Linked DNA regions of Danio rerio. The protein of the gene in region 1 purifies or fractionates together with the protein of each later gene. This does not show direct contact. Links are inferred from orthologs where the notes say so. Each region holds a gene or a part of one and is shown in the gene's direction. Other genes may lie near its edges.

Region 1 (4,257 bases):
ATATTATTAGTATAATTTGTATTATTTACTTATTTCATTTGTTTTCTGCAGTTCTTTAAGTGTTGTCTATTTATTAGACAGACAGACAGACAGACAGACAGACAGACAGACAGACAGACAGATAGATAGATAGATAGATAGATAGATAGATAGATAGATAGATAGATAGATAGATATTAATAATAATATATTAATAATTATAATAATAAAAATAGCACATTCATCCATCTATATACCTTAACTGTTAAAAATCCGCAGACAACAACCAAAAATTATAAGTTTTTATAAATATTATTATTATTATTAGTAGTAGTAGTATTAATAATAATAATAATAATGTTGATTGTTGTTGTTTTGTTTATAGCAATAATTATTGTCATTATGGCATTGCTATTATTGTAAATAATGTGTCATGGTTATTTTATTATTATTATTAATATTATTATTATTATTAATAATAATAATAATTATTATTATTATAATAATCATCATCATCATAATGATAATAATTCATTCATTCATTCATTCATTCATTCATTTTCTTTTCGGCTCAGTCCCTTTATTAATCTGGGGTCGCCACAGTGGAATGAACCGTCAACTTATCCAGCTTATGTTTTAAGCAGTGGATGCCCTTCCAGCTGCAACCCATCACTGGGAAACATCCATACACTCCCATTCACACACATACACTACAGACAGTTTTAGCTTACTCAGCCAAGATCACATGTCTATGGACATGTGGGGGAAACTGAGGCTCCCGGAGGAAACCCATGCGAATACAGGGAGAACATGCAAACTCCACATACTCCACTGACCCAGCCGTGGCTTGAACCAGCAACCTTTTTGCTGTGAGGCGATTGTGCTGCCCACTGTACCACCATGCTGCCAATAATAATAATAATAATAATAAATAATAATAAATAATAATGATAAATTATTATTACTATTATTATTAATATTACAAATTTTTCATAATTTGTTGTTTTATTATTACAATTATTATTATTATCATCACTATTAATATAACAAATGTCTACTAAAGTATTAATATTATTGGTATCATTTGTATTATTACCTTATTTCGTTTGTTATCTGCAGTTCTTTAAGTGTTGCCTTTATCAGACTGACAGATATTTGTATTTATTTATTAATATTTAATTAAATGCTTTTTATAAAATACATGTGAATGCACATGCACTTCATTCATTTCGCCTAGTGTAGTACGCCTGAGGATCCTGACAAAACAATTTCATTCTGACTCAAGAAAAAGTATGACGTATGATTTGTGTGGCCCTGCATCAGTGGACGTCCTGTACTGTACTGTCAAGGCGGAGCGAGCAGGGGAGCGAGCACTGCGTTACTATGGAGACGTGTTTGCTTAGGGAACGCGCATGGCTGGGGGCGCGCAGCAGAAGTCGCTAGAAACGTTGAGCTGATGCGTCACTGCGCGCCAGTGTGTAGAGACACGCGCACTCCTTGTGCAGGTTGACAGCGGCGCATAAACAGCTATAGCTTCCGTCTGTATGCCTTCACTGTGATCTGACAGCACAAATCCAAAACACTACCCCAGGCGAGAGGACGCGAGAGGAGACGCAGATTTGGGTGAACACTGAAAGGAGAATTCGACATGTGAGTCTGACCGGCAGTCATAGGGATGCACTAACTTTAGCTAGTTAGCAAATGTGTGCATAACCTTTATCAGCGAAACACCAGATTCTCTCTCATACGCCAACTATCATGTATGAACATTTAGGACAATACGAATCTTCCTCGTGAAGAAGCTTAGAATTTGTGTAGAAAAACGTCTAGTGGTAATTGGTGGTGGAAATAGCACACATTGTCCCCACAGCAGAGCTTAGCTAGCTGGTTAGCAGCTAGATAGTTAGGCCTGGGGTTACTGCAAGCTACTATGGCATGATTCTATTCTGTTCATCTATTCATGCTTCATATGCATTATTGTAGAATGTACAAGCAATATATGTGTCATATAAATCAACCTTTTACAGATCAAGGCTTGCAGGCTGGGTGTTCCCTATTGGAAAAGAACATGCTTAAGTCATGTTTGCTGTTTGAACGGGTTTAAGAAGGTATTAATGCCAGTTTATGCTGGTCTTCCATGCTGGAGATCAGTTGGGTGGCTATTTGGCCAACTGAAGGGGTTTAGTTTGTCATCCCAGCTTTACACGACAGGTTTGTGAGATGGTTTTGAGTACTTTCCTTCAGGTCATGCTGGTTAACAGTCTACAGGCTAAACCAGCAGAGCAAGGCTGAAAGGTTTTCAGCTGCGATCAATGATACACCATCTTTTTAAATGCATGTATGGACATGATAAATGCTAAAATTAAAAAATATGAACCAAATCTCCTTTATAAATAATATAGTAATATAATAATAAATGTTCAGCATCTTGTGGTTTCTGAATGATCACGTAAAACACTGAACCCTGGAGTAATGATGCTGAAAATTAATCTTAGAAGGGATAGTTCACGCAAACATTTTCATTTACTCACCCTTTAATTGTTTCAGACATTTGAGTTCCTTCTGTTAGACACAAAAGATTTTTTAAAGAAAGCTGGAAACCTGTAACCATTGACTTCTTGTGCTTTTTTTCCTACAATGGAGGTTAATAATTATAGTTCTTTAAAACATCTTTTGTGTTTAACAAAAGAAAAATACTTAAAGGTTTAACCACATAAGGGAGAGAAAATGGTGCGAATTCTAAATATTTGGGTGAATTATTCCAAGAATCAAAGTTATAAAGTTACTTTTTAAAGCCTTAAAATTAAAAAGTTACTTAGAATGACTGTTTTATTGTATCCTATACAGGGTATCCACAAGGTCTTAAAAAGTCTTAAATCTCAAAAATTTTAATTTAGGCCTCAAATAGTCCCAAATCAACTGAAATATTGTGTTGTATGTCTTAAATCTTTTTTAACATTCTTAATTTTCCTCTGTTCATGTATAGCTTCCCAATCTGGCCATTAACACTCATACAATCACCAACAATCTCAACAAAACTTTTCATTTAGAAATTGCATTTTGAACTAATTTACCATCATTGTTTAATTACTTTCCTTACAGTAATTGTTTTTAAAAAGTTCGCCCATTTATTTACTGCTGAGGATACTGACCACCTGACCTATATTTGTTATTATTAAATTATTATTATTATTGTATTATTAAATGTATTAAATTCTAATTATTTTTGAGAGGGCAAGTGAAAAAATTTTCCAACTGGGATATTCGAAAAAAAAAAATCCTTAGCATTTAGCTTTAAGTCTAAAATTTCCTTCATGATAAAAAGGTCTTTAAAAGTCTTACATTTAACCTAATGAAACCTACAGAAACCCTGCTTATAACTACAGCAATAAAAATAAACTCCAGATTTAAATAGGAGTTATTGTGCAGCCCTTTATTACAGAGGCCTGGTTTTGCTATAATTGTATTACATGGGTTAAGCCTTAGGTAGATTGTTAAGAAGCCATGCATGATCCTGCCAATTGATACAAATAGGTTGCCACGGTAACGTCATTGTTGCTCCACCCCCGCCAGGACCTCCTGCCCGCACATGTTAATTTAGAGCTGCACTTTTAGTGTGGAGTTTGACTTTTAACAAATGCACTTAGCTGGTTGCTCAGTTCCTCATGGATTCCATTAGAATTAAGTGATATTGTGTTTTTGAATGTCATATTAAAGTGGAGTTAGACTGAAGCCTTTTCTAAAACATTGCTTTTCATTTTTTGTTTTGCAGGCAGCCAGCTACTGCCAAGTGGTATGACAGACGGGAAGCTGTCTTCATCGAGTTTTGTATAGAAGACAGCAAAGATGTCCAAGTTAAATTTGACAAAACAAAGCTTGATTTCAGGTACATCCTTGTTTTAAGTTGTTAATAGTAGGCCTGAGTGATTTTGGAAACATTTTACATTGCATTTTTTTCTCTGCGATGTATATTGCGATATAAATTCAATTTCACCAGATGACAGTTATAGCTCTATCTGCAAAATCTTTAGTTTAGTGTGATTGGGATGATTGTGTAGGGGTGTGAAATATAAATATATATTTTAAATGTAATTTATTATATACATATAATAAACAAACTACATTCATATATCAACACAATGGTGCAAAAATGAAAGTAAATTAAACCATGTTTTCTGGAGAGAATCTAACAGTATTCAGGTACAGAAATTAAATAAATGTAAAATGTCAAATGTAAAATAACATTGCATAGTCTTCATTATACAAGTAATTTAATAA
Region 2 (3,987 bases), on another chromosome or scaffold:
ATCACTTTATCAAACTGTATGAGGAGACTCATGAAAGGGTAATGATAAACATTTTCAAAGCGCTGTAATACTTGCGAAAATCATGATCGCAATATATAGATCCATGCCTAATATCCGATGGGCAGAAAGTGATTCGTTTTTTTTTTTATAAATTGTTAAAATTTTGGAATTTGGGATGCAGCAAGCCCAGAGACTGTTGTGTACACCATAACTTTATATAAAATTCACTTTAATGTATAATAAGAATAAAAAGTGATCATAAACAAATATTTTGTCAATTCAAATGAGTGGACCCGGAAAAAGTATTACATACGGCACCAACACGTCACCACTTAACAAGCGAATAGAATTATTCATTCATTCATTTTCTTGTTGGCTTAGTCCCTTTATTAATCCGGGGTCGCCACCGCAGAATGAACCGCCAACTTATCCAGCAAGTTTTTACACATCGGATGCCCTTCCAGCCACAACCCATCTCTGGGAAAACTAATAAAATTATATAGACTAAAATATGTGCTTTCATACACTTAAATTAAATAATATAGCTGAAGTGTTTATCCAAAGCAGGTTATGATCTAATGGGGACTTTTCAAGTAATCCGAGCAACATCAACAATAACATGACAGCTTAGGCAGTTACACTTGTAGTGTGAGTGCAAAGTGCGCCTGAGTGTGTCACTTTTAAGGGACTGTTTCATATGGATTTATTAATCATTCTTACTTTTCAATGAACGTGCACTGTCAGTTATTCAGTTATTAAATATGCAGACGCCCCATATATATGATGTCAGTATGGGAGATTTTACAGTTAGAAGGTAATATATATATATATATATATATATATATATATATATATATATATATATATATATATATATATATATATATATATATATATATATATATATATATATATAAAGCTTTATGTAAATGCTAACAGATATTTTCCTTTTTATTAAATATACACTGCTAAAACGGTATCAGTTTTTACAATTCAAATGAAAATGTGGAAAATAGAATAGTCATATTGTAATAGGAGTGTTGATTACGACATTTGGATTTCTCTACAATCTGATTGTATCACAAACTCGCATATCCCTTTCTCCGCTAATGACTGGGTTTAGAATTTTGCGACGGTCCCTCACGCTGCAGTCAGTTCTAGACTTTGCCGTCTCCTCGCTCTCGCGCAGCTCTGGAAAGTTCGCTGAGTCGATTCAGTTTCCAGCGGCGGCCCGATCGTTATATAAACGCCTCGCGGAGTCCCTGCGCGTTCCCAAAAACCACATTTATCGGCCGCTGACTGCCACAATCGCGCGATAGCTTAGCAAATCCACTCCTAATACCGAAATTAAAGCCGTTTAGCCCTGCAGACGTCGAGTCTTCAGTGATTTCTGCACGTTAGCTGTTGAAGGAAAGACCTCGGCGAGGAGACTCAGTCTGTATTTTGGTGGTATTTTGAAGGTGATACCTATATTAAAGCGACGATGACTGCAGAGGAGGTGGCGAATGAAGGTTGTAGCATCCCCATCGAGGGTGAAGACATTACCCCGAAGAAAGATGGAGGGGTTTTAAAGGTAAATACTGCAGGGCATTGAGCCGCATTGACTCCATGTGGGAGGTGTGACTGACTAAAAAGCATGTTACAGACGATATGTCTGTCTATTAATGCACTTTTACTACTGCTATAGCTGTTGTTGTGCATTTAAATGTGACTATTTTAACAGTATGTATTAATAAACAACGCCTGTTGCTAATTGTGCTGCGTTTTCTAGATCTTTCTACCGCGCCTAAAGAGAGAATTCGCTTCAGAAATTATAATATTTCTGATCTGATTCATTTCGTCTCAATGTGTTCATAAACCTATATGATTTACCTTGTAATGTAAACACAAAAGGAGACATTAGCGTCTGACAGCCGCGGGTCACCGTTCACTTTCATTATGCATTGTTGTATGCTAACGTTACTAAAACGAATGGTGACTGGTAAATATATTGTTTTGTAAACAAAAGCACAACCATTCAGTTTTATAAACAACGTTAAAGTTAGCAAATGTGACAAATCTTATTTTTAGGTGAATCTTCCTATTTATTTTTAGTATTACAATTCTTTTGGTTTGCAATGTTAATTAAACAAAGTTTTGTGCCGCTTCTGTTTAATATACAAGTGACACATGTAACTTATGTGATTAAAATCAGTAGCAATCAAAGCATGTAATCTCTGGAAACCTCAGGTTGGTGTTATCAGATACAAATACAGGAATTACTTGTTTGGGATAATTAAACGCTTTCGGTGCAACTCATTCAAGAAGAATTCACCTAAATAACTTAATAATTTTATTTATTGTGTGATTATTGTGTGGAATATGGCTCTGTGTATGCTTAAACTATTCGATTATTACAAACATATAAGAGTTATTTGTGTATAAAGTCATTAACCTAAGCATTAGGCGTGAACATCTTTCTGCCCTGCGGTCTTTGAAGATTGACAGGTCACAGGTGTAGTGCAGTGTGCCCAACAGATTGAAGATGAATCTCTTTCTCTCTTCCACAGTTGGTCAAGAAGGAGGGTACTGGCACCGAGTTGCCTATGATTGGTGATAAAGTATTTGTGCACTATGTCGGAACACTGCTTGATGGCTCACAGTTCGACTCCAGCCGTGATCGAGGGGAAAAGTTCTCCTTTGAGCTGGGCAAAGGTGAGTAAGGGTGAAGTGCGCTAAATGGTAGTTCGCCCTCGCTGACTCTTAAACAGAGTCTAGGTGAATTAGATGAATTGAATCCATCTTTATTTCTGTAGCGCTTTTACAATGTAGGCTGAGTCAAAGCAGCTTAACATAGAAGTTGTAGTAGATTGAAACTGTGTCAGTCCAGTTTTCAGAGTTGAAGTTCAGTTCGACTAAAATCAGCATACTCCACGTCTAAATTCGATTTCTGTTTGGATCGATTATGACCTTAATTAGATTAAATGAATCAAATCGCTGTTTACATGGTAGACTCTTAATCAGAGTATTGTCTTAATCGTATTAATAAGATTATTGGTGTCCATGTAAACGTACTTGATGATAATCTTGACTAACTAACCTGTCTGTCTTTATGTTGTGCGCCTAAACACACAACTATAATGTCACAGCCGTAAAGCTTCTGACACACTTTAAAACTGTAAACAACATTTCCCCTGAAACTATGAGTTTGTAAGAATGTGATCAGATTAACCTGTTCATCTTGATGTTTAATGTACTCGGCAACCTCTGTAGTTTCATTTAGCTTCTTGTTTCTTTTTCATGAATAGCAGAAGCTTAAATAATAAACCACAAGGGTGTATTCTCAATGTCTCTTATCTTGTTGTAAACATGAAAACATCTTAGACATTTCTTAATATTATGTTACTTAAAATTGCTTTAGATGAAATACCTGATTTGTGATGATAGAATTGAAAGTAAAATAAAAGATATATCTAGAAATGTAGCAGGTATTATATATATTTTTACTTGTCGATTAGATTGAGGCGAATACAAATCCAAGCCTGTGTTCGAGATAAGGGCAGAAAACTGCAGGGCATAGGAACAGATGCATTTGTAAATGCAAGCAAAACATCATTGCGCATCCAAGTCAACAATTTTAGACAATTATTTGCTCCATCTCGCAGGTCAGGTGATCAAAGCATGGGACATCGGTGTGGCTACAATGAAGATTGGCGAGATCTGCCAATTGACATGCAAACCTGAGTATGCATACGGAGCTGCTGGCAGCCCCCCAAAAATCCCTCCTAATGCTACTCTTCTGTTCCAGGTAATGTAATAGACTGCTGAGATTGTCAATGTTTGTACTGGTGCGGGAAATCCTTAAAAAATATGCTTGAATTTGGATCTGCTGTTTTTAAGGTCTTGGATAAAGTGCTTGAAAATGTAATTGAAACAATTTCTTACGTAATATGGAATAATGATGAAGTACTTAAATAAAAATAAGTCTCTTTCCTTTTCTTTTTTTTT
Region 3 (4,225 bases), on another chromosome or scaffold:
AGCTGATAGAAAAGCAACAGTAACTCAAATAAGCACTCGCTACAACCGAGGTCTGCAGAAGAGCATCTCTGAACACACAACACGTCCAACCTTGAGGCGGATGGGCTACAGCAGCAGAAGACCACACCAGGTGCCGCTCCTGTCAGCTAAGAACAGGAAACTGAGGCTACAATTCACACAGGCTCACCAAAACTGGACAATAGAAGATTGGAGAAACGTTGCCTGCTCTGATGAGTTCTAAAGTTATATCCTTTCAGTGGTTTGTTATGCAGTGACATGCAGTCAAATATTTCGCCAAACAGTCCTTAGGGATGCGGTAAAACGCAGTCAGATATTTTACCGGACAGATCCGCCACTTTTGGCGCGCATAAACAATCATAAAGCTCTCGTGCTGCAGGAATGAGGAGGTCTGCTGAAGGCGCGCAGCTGTCGTGCAGTGAGAGATTTGTGTCTTTAATAAACTACGGCAGTTTGTGATCACTGAACAGTAAGAATGATTAATAAATCCATATGAAACAACCCCTTAAAAGTCACGTGTCTCTTTCAGTTTCGGGCTTTGGCGCGTTTTGCACTGAGCGTCTCTCTCTCTCTCTCTCTCTCTCTCTCTCTCTCTTTCTCACTCACTCACTCACTCACTCACGCGGGCATGCACTGTGGTCTCATGAGGAAACGCTGATTTTTGATATAGTGTTTTCCTTGCTCCCGAATACAAATAATATTTCAAGTATTTGTTCGAATCAAGTATTCGTAAAAACACGCTATTCGTGCCTTTCCGAATACCGTATTCGGGTTCGGCTCCACCCTTAATACATACGTATATATACATATACATATATATATGTATATATACGTATGTATGTATATATATATAAATATACATATATATATGTATATGTATATATGTATTTGTGTGTGTGTGTGTATATATATATATATATATATATATATATATATATATATATATATATATATATATATATATATATATATATATATATATATATACTTTTGTACCTTTAGGGTAATCTATGAGATAAACTATTTAAACATTTTAGGTAATAATATATAGGCATATGTCATTTAAAGTTATCTTGTCATTTTAATCACAGCTCACAAAAGCAACTGAATCCGATTCTCTTAAACCCCCTCTGAGCATAACTAAAACCTTCAGCTTTAGCTTTAGTACTCTAAATCCTTACCAATTAGACCTCCTTACTACTAACAAAGACATTAATATTTTTAAGATCCTTCTGAGTATGACAGATGTTTCTCAAAACACACAAACTCCCTTCTTCTCCCGCCTTCAGTAGTGTGTGAAATGTGAATGAAGCGAGGCGGGGCGTATTTATCATGTCACATCTGTAACCACGCCCTCCCTCAGTGACGTCAGAGGTTTGGTTTGTACTTGCGACGTGCAGAACGCAGAGCAACACAGCCACGCGCTTGTAGAGGAGAGCGCAGCGGGATGGAGCGCGCGCGCTGCACGGTGTCGATCCCGACCCCTGTGGTTTATTTAACGGGAATATCTTACCGTGATGAACGGACGCGGTTGTTCGTTCGTATATGTTGATGCTGACGCGTTGTGCGTGAAAGTTGACCGGTGGAAGCACCGGATTTAAAGGGTCGGTGACATGGAGAAGTGCCCGACAGTTCTGGATCCCGACGGGGATAAGCAGTACTGCGAGCTGTGTGGGAAGATGGAAAACCTGCTAAAATGCGGTAGGTGCAGGATCTCATTTTACTGCAGCAAAGAGCATCAAAAGGAGCACTGGAAAAAGCACAAACTCACCTGCAGAGAGGCTGACAAACACAACACTGTGCCCCAAACCCAACAACAGCACCCCAAAACTGCCCATCCAGAGAAAAACAACCTGATCTGCAGCTCAGAAGCTGATCTGAAAGCCAAACCCCACACACAGAAGCTGGCCACCGATTATATAATCCCATGTATGAACAAGCATGGCATCTGTGTGGTGGACAACTTTCTGGGGGAAGACATGGGACTGTCCATTTTGGAGGATGTGAAGGCTCTTCATCAGACGGGTAAATTCACTGACGGTCAGCTGGTCAGTCAGAAAAGTGACTCTTCGAAGGACATACGGGGGGATAAAATCACCTGGATTGAGGGGAAGGAGCCTGGATGCGAGAAAATCTGCTTCTTGATGAGCCGCATGGATGACCTGGTCAGGAATTGCAATGGGAAACTGGGAAACTACATAATTAATGGAAGGACTAAAGTAAGTATCTGTCTGTCAACTGTGTGCATGCTGTATTTTAGGGTTATGGTGATGTCAAATGTGCATGTTTTAGAGAATTGATGAAGCTTTTCATGTACAGTATTATCACAATAGGTGAATAATAATAAGTGATGAACAGGTATGATAAAAAAAAACGGTTTATCAAATGTTCAGAGTAAACAAATGTTTCAACCTAATTAAATGTAATTGAATTTTAAAATTTTAGTTAGCATATTAAAATCGGAAAAGTCACATTCATTACAGTTACTAAGTTAATATTAGGTGCCATAGTTAATATATGAAATAATTTTTCAGCACTCTTCAGAATAACTTGCTTTGTGTTCAACAGATGAAAGAAACTCATAAAAGTTTACAACCACTTGAGTCTGAATAAATGATGAGGACAATTTCATTTTCAACTGGCAACCAAAATTGTCAGTAAGTTATTGTAAATTTATTTTGCAACCAAACCTGCAACCAAAAATTTCAGTACATTACTATAAATTTATTTTGCAACCAATCTGGCAAAAAAAAAAAAAAAAAAAAAAAATTGTCAGTAAGTTACAGTAAAGTTTTAAGTTACAATAAGTTACTATAAATGTATTTTGCAACTGGCAACCAAATTTGTCAGAAAGTTACCATAAATGTATTTTGCAACCAAACTGGCAACCAAAATTGCCAGTAAGTTATTGTAAATGTATTTTGCAACCAAAATTACCAACAAGTTACTGTAAGTGTATTTTATAACCAAACTGGCAACCAAAATTGTCAATACCTTACTGTAAATGTATTTTGCAACCAAACTGCCACCAAAATTGTCAGTAAGTTACAGAAAAGCTTTAAGTTACAATAATTTACTGTAAAGGTATTTTGCAACCAATCTGGCAACAAAAATTGTCAGCAAGTTACAGTAAAGTTTTGAGTTACAGTAAGTTACTGTAAATGTATTTTGCAACCAATCTGGTAAAAAAAAATTGTCAGCAAGTGACAGTAAAGTTTTGTTACAATCAGTTACTGTAAAGGTATTTTGCAACCAAAAATTTCAGTAAGTTAATATAAATGTATTTTGTAACCAAACTGGCAACCAAAATTGTCAGTAAGTTACAGTAAAGCTTAAAGTTACAATAATTTACTGTAAATGTATTTTGCAACCAATCTGGCAACCAAAATTGTCAGTAAGTTATTGTAAATTTATTTTGCAACCAAAATTACCAGCAAGTTACTGTAAGTGTATTTTGTAACCAAACTGGCAACCAAAATTGTCAATAAGTTACTGTAAATGTATTTTGCAACCAAACTGGCAACCAAATTTGTCAGTAAGGTACAGTAAAGCTTTAAGTTACAATAACTTACAGTAAATGTATTTTGCAACCAATCTGGCAACAGAAATTGTCAGCAAGTTACAGTAAAGTTTTGAGTTACAATCAGTTACTGTAAATGTATTTTGCAACCAAAAATTTCAGTAAGTTAATATAAATTATTTTTGCAACCAAACTGGCAACCAAAAATATCAGTAAGTTACAGTAAAGTTTTAAGTTACAATAAGTTATTGTAAATGTATTTTGCAACTGGCAACCAAAATTGTCAGTAAGTTACCATAAATCTATTTTGCAACCAATCTGGCAACCAAAATTGCCAGCAAGTTTTGCAGTACTTTTTAGTGTAGTGTTTTGGATTTAATTGTATTTTGAATGCAGTTACTCATCATTTATTCAGACTCAAGTGGTTGTAAACGTTTATGAGTTTCTTTTATCTGTTGAACACAAAACAAAATATTCTGAAGAGTGCTGAAAAAAAGCACCCTTTAACTTCCATTGTAAGAACACAAATAGTATAAACACTGGGTGAACTGACCCTTTAAGTAACATGTAGAGTTGAAGGAGATTATTTTCTAGACATAATAGTTTAATAACTCATTTCTAATAACTGATTTCTTTTATCTTTGTCATGATGACAGTAAATAATATTTGACTAGATATTGTTCAAGA

The links. The genes of interacting proteins can lie anywhere in the genome.
Region 2: the proteins of ptges3a (region 1) and fkbp4 purify together in Homo sapiens (affinity purification with mass spectrometry; 3 studies listed by BioGRID and IntAct, with this or other methods). This does not show direct contact. The link is inferred for Danio rerio from reciprocal best matches to the Homo sapiens genes PTGES3 and FKBP4.
Region 3: the proteins of ptges3a (region 1) and egln1a purify together in Homo sapiens (affinity purification with mass spectrometry; 5 studies listed by BioGRID and IntAct, with this or other methods). This does not show direct contact. The link is inferred for Danio rerio from reciprocal best matches to the Homo sapiens genes PTGES3 and EGLN1.

The regions. Positions count from the first base shown.
Region 1 is NC_133198.1:29,970,431-29,974,687, forward strand, and holds the start of ptges3a (prostaglandin E synthase 3), read left to right. Parts: upstream 1-1,457; 5' UTR 1,458-1,627; coding exon 1,628-1,629; intron 1,630-3,751; coding exon 3,752-3,865; intron 3,866-4,257. UniProt on the Homo sapiens protein: Cytosolic prostaglandin synthase that catalyzes the oxidoreduction of prostaglandin endoperoxide H2 (PGH2) to prostaglandin E2 (PGE2).
Region 2 is NC_133193.1:7,697,214-7,701,200, forward strand, and holds the start of fkbp4 (peptidyl-prolyl cis-trans isomerase FKBP4), read left to right. Parts: upstream 1-1,187; 5' UTR 1,188-1,483; coding exon 1,484-1,573; intron 1,574-2,549; coding exon 2,550-2,694; intron 2,695-3,644; coding exon 3,645-3,787; intron 3,788-3,987. UniProt on the Homo sapiens protein: Immunophilin protein with PPIase and co-chaperone activities. Component of steroid receptors heterocomplexes through interaction with heat-shock protein 90 (HSP90).
Region 3 is NC_133188.1:52,996,937-53,001,161, forward strand, and holds the start of egln1a (egl nine homolog 1), read left to right. Parts: upstream 1-1,425; 5' UTR 1,426-1,631; coding exon 1,632-2,237; intron 2,238-4,225. UniProt on the Homo sapiens protein: Cellular oxygen sensor that catalyzes, under normoxic conditions, the post-translational formation of 4-hydroxyproline in hypoxia-inducible factor (HIF) alpha proteins.